2 linked regions of the Cricetulus griseus genome follow. The protein of the gene in region 2 purifies or fractionates together with the protein of the main gene of each other region. This does not show direct contact. Links are inferred from orthologs where the notes say so. Each region holds a gene or a part of one and is shown on either strand. Other genes may lie near its edges.

What was found.
Region 1: the proteins of Ogdh (region 2) and Dlst fractionate together in Homo sapiens (co-fractionation; 3 studies listed by BioGRID). This does not show direct contact. The link is inferred for Cricetulus griseus from reciprocal best matches to the Homo sapiens genes OGDH and DLST.

What each region holds. Positions count from the first base shown.
Region 1 is NC_048598.1:118,638,294-118,641,537, reverse strand, and holds the end of Dlst (dihydrolipoyllysine-residue succinyltransferase component of 2-oxoglutarate dehydrogenase complex, mitochondrial), read left to right. Parts: intron 1-1,167; coding exon 1,168-1,302; 3' UTR 1,303-2,626; downstream 2,627-3,244. UniProt on the Homo sapiens protein: Dihydrolipoamide succinyltransferase (E2) component of the 2-oxoglutarate dehydrogenase complex. The 2-oxoglutarate dehydrogenase complex catalyzes the overall conversion of 2-oxoglutarate to succinyl-CoA and CO(2).
Region 2 is NW_023276807.1:98,578,482-98,582,746, forward strand, and holds the start of Ogdh (2-oxoglutarate dehydrogenase, mitochondrial), read right to left. Parts: upstream 2,930-4,265; 5' UTR 2,807-2,929; intron 2,133-2,806; exon of another isoform or gene 1,992-2,132; intron 1,864-1,991; exon of another isoform or gene 1,674-1,863; intron 1-1,673. UniProt on the Homo sapiens protein: 2-oxoglutarate dehydrogenase (E1o) component of the 2-oxoglutarate dehydrogenase complex (OGDHC). Participates in the first step, rate limiting for the overall conversion of 2-oxoglutarate to succinyl-CoA and CO(2) catalyzed by the whole OGDHC.

The sequences.
Region 1 (3,244 bases), on a different chromosome or scaffold from region 2:
TTTCTGGGTCACCCACTCCTTTGTACTTCCAAAACCACAGGTCTTCTTTCTGGGGGGAAAAAAAAAAGAAAAGAAATCTTGGGTTTGGTGGACCCATTTAACCCTTGCCTTCACAGCTGCACACCTGGCTTTACACAAAACATGTATTTTTTTTATTTATGGATTTTCAAACAGGTTTTCTCTGTGTAGCCCTTTCTGTTCTGGAATTCTCCATGTATACCAGGCTGGCCTTTACTTGAGAGATCTGCTTGCCTCTATCTCCTGAGTGCTGGGGTTAAAAGTGTACGCCAGCCACCACACCTGGCAGATAGCTTTGAACTCAAAAGATTAATGCCCCCCCACTCCCTCCGACTAGAAATATAAACCAGTGGTAGTGTTTGTCCAGCGTGTTCAGAGCCCTGAGTTTGATAATGATAGTACATGCTATAGTTACAGCATTCGGAAGCAGAGGCCAGAGGGTCAAGAGTGTAGTATCATCCTTGGTTGTACAGTGAGTTTGAGAACAGCCTGTGCTACATGAGACCAGTTGGAAAAACAACATACTTTTTTTTCCTCTTTAAATTGTAATTTCAAGGCTTGGGTGTTGCTCAATAGTAGAGTGCTTGCCTAGCATACCCAAGGCCTGGTGTTAGATGGATCCACAAAATTGAAAAAAATAATAGTGATAACGATTGTAACTTCATCCTGGTTGTGGGGGCGCACACCTTTAATCCCAGTACTCAGGAGGCAGAGGCAGGTGGATCTCTGGGTTCGAGGCCAGCCTGGTCTACAGATCAAGTTCTAGGACAGCTGGGGTGATTCACAGAGAAACCCTGTCTCAAAACAAACACACAAAAAGATTGTAACTTTAGAGTAGCTCCTATAGGCAGCCACAGCAAGAAAAAAACCTTTCAGTAGGTATCAATTTAACGGGTGGAGTGTGGTTATTTGTCTTAAAGCAGTTTGAGGAGCCTGTTTCCTTAGGTAAACCTTGCTTCTGAGTCCCAGAGCTTTGCTCAAAACATAAGCTTGGTCTTCAAAATAAACCCAAGTTACCCAGAGGCAGCACTGGTAGGAGAGACTTGGAACTAGAAACTCTGGTATGGGCTTTGCTTTCTCACCTCTTCCTCTTGACAGGGCTTTCTCTGATCTGTTGGATACAAACCTGTTGCCCTCTCCACTCTACAGGTGGAAGTTCGACCTATGATGTATGTAGCCCTGACCTATGACCACCGGCTGATTGATGGCAGAGAGGCTGTGACTTTCCTCCGAAAAATCAAGGCAGCGGTAGAAGATCCAAGAGTCCTCCTCCTAGACCTTTAGGAGGAAGCCACACACTCTACCTATTGATCATGCAGGAACTGAAAACCAGTCTTCTCCCTGTCCCCTCACCAGTCCCAGGTTAGCCTGATAACAGGCAGGCACATACTGTTGGCCTCAAGCAAGGAAGCCAGAGCACTATGTAACCAGCCTTCCCAGGTCTTAGTGTTCTTTCTAGGCTCTTTCTCTCTCTGTGTGTCACTCTCTTGCCTTCTGATACCTTGGGCCTGAGAGAGAGAGTGAGAGCCTTAATGGATGCTCATTAATATTCCTGTCTTTCTTCCAGCCCTCTGCAAAGACAATTTTCTTCTCCCCAGTAACAGTATACTACCGGGGTACCACCAGGGACCATGTGATTGAATTTCTATCTTTGGAAAGTGTTCTCCAGAGATGCCCAGGGGGTGCTTTGCCTCCCAGGCTCAAAGCTTCTGTCCCAGCTGTGCACATTCTCAGGTGATGCCACCTGTGTGGAGGTATTGGATGCAGGCGAAGAGGCCCTGCATTGCTTCTTAAATGCACCACCATTCTGAGCTGTCCGTGGCTTCATGGTGCCTCTCTACCTCTTCCAGGAAGCACTGGCCGGGGACTTGGGGACAGGCAAGATGGTTACTATTCCAGTCACAGATGGGAGTAGAACCCTGACTTGCCCTCACAGGCTCCATTGTAAGCTCACTGGGAAGATTCATTTTGGCATAATCACATATAACTGTGGTCATACCAACCCTTCCCAGGGTTCTAGGGCTTGTTTTCACTTAGAGCAGACTTTAGCTCATCATGGCAGTGGGTCAGAGCCTGTTAAAGGGACTGACTCTGACCAGATCAGGTTAGCAAGAGCTCTTAAGTCCGAGATGGCCTCAGCATGTGATGGGGAGGGGCTGTTCTCTCCCTTCCTGGGTGTGGCCTGTGGGGAGCGGGGGTCTTGGTGCCTCTGGCAGGACACAGATACAGGGGAGGATAACCTATGGTGGGAACCAGCCTCAGGAGTTAGTACATAGTGGTGAAATGGATGATGTCATCTCTATGGGGACAGGCACAATCATTGGAATTTCTTGAAGCATGGTAAAAGGCAAGTAACAAGGTATGAAAGCTCTTAGGCCTTATATCCAGCTGCACTGAGGCCTGAGACTGCTGACAATTGACAAAGGGCCATTAGTGCTAAATACCCTTTTTTCTTGTAATCCAGGACAAGCTTGGGGGAGGGGGAGAGGCCAGTATTGAGTGCCTGCGGCATCTGCTACTACATCTTCACCATTCGGAACTTGTAACTAAAATATTTAAAGAGACCGATTTTGAATGAAAATTAAAGGGCAAATGTTCTCAAACAGGGTCCCAGCATCTGTGCTCCTTTTGACCCTTGAGGTTGTATAGCCTAGTTGGCAACCACAGTGGTCTTTATCTTTGAAAGCTACTTCATCTTGAGTTGCTATCCTGTGTAGTCCTGAAGCCCCTCTCCCAGTCTTTAAACATGTTAGTGCTGTGCCAATTTAACTAGTAGCCAGGGGAACCCACTAATCTTAGTGCCCTGGGTTCCTTTCAGGGAGCCCTGTGGTTCTGACAAGTCAACTCTTGAAGAGAAATTGTAGCTCCCACCTGTGTGAAGTCCTTTCAAAACACCAAGGGACCGTTGCTTTTTTTGAGGGGCTTGCATTATTTCTGAGAGAGTGGAGAGACATGAATACTTCTAATTTCATTTGGACCTAGTTGCCACATGTGTACCAAGATACTTGTAGTTAGAATGAACAGTAAGAAGTCACCTCTGCAGTAGTGTGTGGGAGGCAGTATGGACAGGACAGGGTTGATCACTGACCTAGAATGGCTATGACGGATAATAGGCATGATGGTGTCTAGGCTTCAATACATCCTTACTTTTCCACACAGAATCCCACCTGTTGATCCCGCTTGCAGCGAGGCCCTCCCTCTGTGGAGGCCTGCCACAGGAAGAAAT
Region 2 (4,265 bases):
TGGTCTTGAACTCATAGAGATCTATCCGCCTGCCTCTGCCTCCCGAGTGCTGGGATCAAAGGCATGCACCACAACTGCCCAGCTGAAAATAATATGTTCTTAAAGAGTGAAAATTATGAAATCTTTATAGAAAGCATGATAATCTGTCAACATTTTATTAAAGCACATAAAGAATTTGTTTCCTGCTAAACTCAGCCACAAACATAAATGTTAAATATAAAACAAAAGTCTCAAAAAGGTTGACAGAAAAAGCAAACTAACTTGAACCTTGAATCTTGGCACCTGAAGAGACTCAGATAGAGCACTGAAAGAGTACCACCCTTGTGGCACATGTTCCAGAATAAGTAATAGAGAAGATCTAAGAAATGCCAACAAGTAGCTGGGCAGTGGTGGCACACGCCTTTAATCCCAGGGCTTGGGAAGCAGAGGCAGGCAGATCTCTCTGAGTGTGAGGCCAGGCTGGTCTATAAGAGCCAGTTCCAGGACAGCCAGAGCTATTACACAGAGAAACCCTGTCTCAAAACAAACAAACAAACAAAAAAGGAAAGTAAAAAAAAGAAAGAAATGCCAACAGATGTAGACAAGAGAAGGCACAAAGCCTATGCTCTTAAGCCAAAGGATAGTGACAGGAGCAGCAAGATGAAAAATTTAAACAATTTTCCTACTGCAGTCAAACACCAGAGAAAACACCATTTAGAAGGCTGAGGCAAGAGGATAATCATGAGTTCAAGGTGAGCCTTGGTTGTATGTATACTGAAAGTAACCCAGAAGAGTCAGTACAAAGAAAGCAGAGAAATGAAACTAGAATAGCTAAATGAAAGCCTTAAATTTTAGCATACCACTATAAATCCTAACATATCAGAAGACCAACAGGCAGTGGATAAAACAAAATCAAGTATATACTTGTCGACAATATCACTTCAAAGATAGTAACACAGAACCTAAAGTTGAAAACACATTATTTCATGCCAGGTAGAGATGACCCACGCCTTTAATCCCAATACTTGGGAGGCTGAGGCAGGCGGATCTCTGTGAGTTTAAGGACAGCCTGGTCTACAGATAGAGTTCCCGGACAGCCAGGGCTACAGAGAAACTCTGTCTTGAAAAATCCACATATTTCTAAGAATGGCCCTATTATTATTTAATAAAGCAGACAGCAAAGAAAAGGCAATTACCAGAGACTGAGAGGGACAGAAAAATAATGAAAAGGTCAATCTATCAAAAAGATAAGCAAACCTAAATGTGTACGTATGGGGGGGGGCCTCCAAGATTGAACAGTGCCACCAAACCTGGCCACCTAAATTCAATCCCCAGGACACACATGGTGAAAGGAGAAAACCAAGTCTCACAAGTTGTCATATGACACCTACTCAAGCGCTGTCACAGGAGCATGTTGTTCCCCTACATACGAATAAATAAATGTTAACTTTTTAAATAAAAAAGAAAACTGCATAATATGGGATGCAAAGTGACAAAGACTAGAAAAAGAGAAAAGTCAATTACAGTGTCACTCATTCTAATGCCACCTCAAGGGCAGGACTACAAGACCAGGCAAACTAGCAAACGCCAACAGTGTCCTCTGCTCAGTGCCATAGCATGGGATGCACAGACACGATTCGGGCCTGTAAGAGTAATGAAATCCACAGAAAATCTGAAAAAAAAAAAAAGCTTACTTTTGTTTTTAGTTACTTGATTCTGCTTAGAGGTGAAGAAGCTGAATTGCACATTCCAACTGGCTTCGCTATATATAGATAACACCTCCGACTTAGGATCATCCTATCTAAATTGTTCTCATGTACCACGAGGCCTCAATTGAAACTGGTGACACCACTGACTTGGGCCTGCAGAGGTGCTCCTTGAGTGACCTTTTGACGTCAAGGGTCTAAAACTCCACCCTCCAATGACAACGGCGCCATTTTCTGATCCTGCAGAGCGAATCAGGAAGTTGGGTTACGCATGCGCACAACACCTAGCCCTTCCCTTCTCATTACCTTTAACTCCCCTTCTCCACACCTCACCCTGTAGATATTCCTGTGCCCTACCCGCGGGGCTCCTGTCTTAACACTGGCGTCTGCCACGTGAGTACTCTTTCCGAACTTGTCATTTCAGCGACAGGCACACTGCTCGGTGGGTAAAAGGAACATGATCTGCTAACTCAGGCGAGAGAGCACGTAGCGGGCTTCCCAGTCACTCAGCGGATTAAGTCACATCTGTCACACACTCTCGCGAGGAAAGCGGTGCGTGGATGGTGTTTCTAGGGAAACCAGTGTCACCTTGGCCCGTTGCCTGTTCTACCTCATACCGGCAGGTGGGGCTGCCGCAGGCACCAAGGTCAGCGCCGTGACCGGGCGCGGCGACCACAAGGACGGCGGCCTGCTGGGGTCAGAGCACGCAGGACAAAAGAACGCGCGCGGGCCGGAGGAAGCGACCGGACCACGTGACGCGCCGCGACCTTGGGGTTCTCCCGGGCCGCCGAGCCACCGACACCCTAGCCCGCCGCCTCCGAAGCTCCGCCGCCAGAGCCAATAGCGCTCGCCCCGGCGACCCCCGGCGCCCGTCCGTGTTCGCCAATCCCCGCCTGCCAGGCGGACCCTGCCACCCCATTGGCTACGACGCCTGTCCATCAGGCCTCGTCCTCCGCCCACCATCGCCGCCCTCCGTCAGCCCGGCTAGGTCCGGCTCCACACCCGTCACTCAGGTGCCCCGGCTGCAAGGGCGTGTAGGCCTCACCCTCGGCCGCAAGCCTCGGGTGTCAAGCGCCGAACCTCCCAGCACTGGACTGAGCCCGTCCGCCGCGCAAGGTTACCTGTCTCCCGTTCTGCTCCACCCGAGTGAGGCGCCGACACCCCACTCCGGGCTCCAAACTCTCGGCCCCGCCCCGGCGTGTGGCGTCAGCGCGTAGCCCGGCCCCAGAGGAGCGGCCTGCACGAAGGCCTGTAGGCGTGTCATGACGTCACGTTTCAGTCACTCCGGCTTCGCGCCAATGCGGAACTTGGCCACTGGCCGAAGTCGGCCTGTTGCTCACCGCGCTTCCACTGTCATTAGTAGTTAAACATGAGAAGCTTCCAAAGCCTGGCTAAGACTCCAGTAAATTCATGGCGTGTGGTGCACTCCTGTAATTGCGGCGTTTGGCGAGCGGAAGCATGAGCGTGGCGACTTAAAGACCCGCCGGCTTTGTATCTGAAACAAGCTGCACTAAATAATAGTTGGGTTGGTGAAATTTACCACTGCACAAAATAATTTGACTAACAAGATCTACATTTTTGAACACTTGTTTTGCAGCAGTCTTTGTGAAGAGTAGTTAGTCCTATTGTATAACAAGTTACACTTGGGTGTTTCTACCTGCATTCTGACAGGAAGCTCTGCTGGGATGCCCCTGGATGGCCTGGCTCCAGAGCCTGCTATAAACAGGCAGAATGCCACTAATTAACCTGTCACACTCCACTGGCCAAGAAATGCTCCCTGTGGTAATATTTTGTTTATGATCTAACAAAGCTTTTCTGAAGATCAGACTGCAAAGCTAGTCACACTAGTTAGCCATAGAGGCCAGGCAGCAGTGGTGCACACCTTTAATCTGAGCATTGGTGAGACAGGAAGACTGATTTCTGTTAGTTCAAGGCCACCCTGAGCTACACGAAATTGATCCAGTCTAAAAGAGAAACAGAGCTCACACAAAGGTGATCGAAGCACTTGGAGTGGCACACCTTTATAGGATTAAAGCACTCCTAGCACTAAGGAGGTGGAGACAGAAAGGGATATGGCTAGGCGGAGAGAGGAGTATAAGGCTGGAGGAGACAGGAGCTGGGGCAGTCTAGCAGTCTAAGCGGTCAGTCTAAGGCAGTTAGTATTTCAATCTGAGGATTTGTGGAGTCAGGATCGCCTATTTGGTCTGAGGTAGAGGTAAGAACTAGTGGCTGGTGGGGGCTGGAGAGATGATGACTCAGCTGTTAAGAGCAGTAGCTGCTCTTCCAGAGGACCCAGGTTCAATTCTCAGCACCTACACAGGAGCTCACAACTGTAATTCCAGGAGATCTGACACCTTCACACAAATACACATAAAGTAAATTTAAAAGAAAAGAAAGAGCTAGTGGCTGGCTGCTTTGCTTCTCTGATCTTCCCCCAGCCCCAATTTCTGACTCTGAGTTTTTATTAAGAACAATTAGAATTCATGTTACAGCTCCTAGTGTAAAAATGTTCAGCCATGTTTGAAAGTACACACCTATAATCCCAGAACTGGGAAGGCTATGACCAATTGGAGTTCAAGA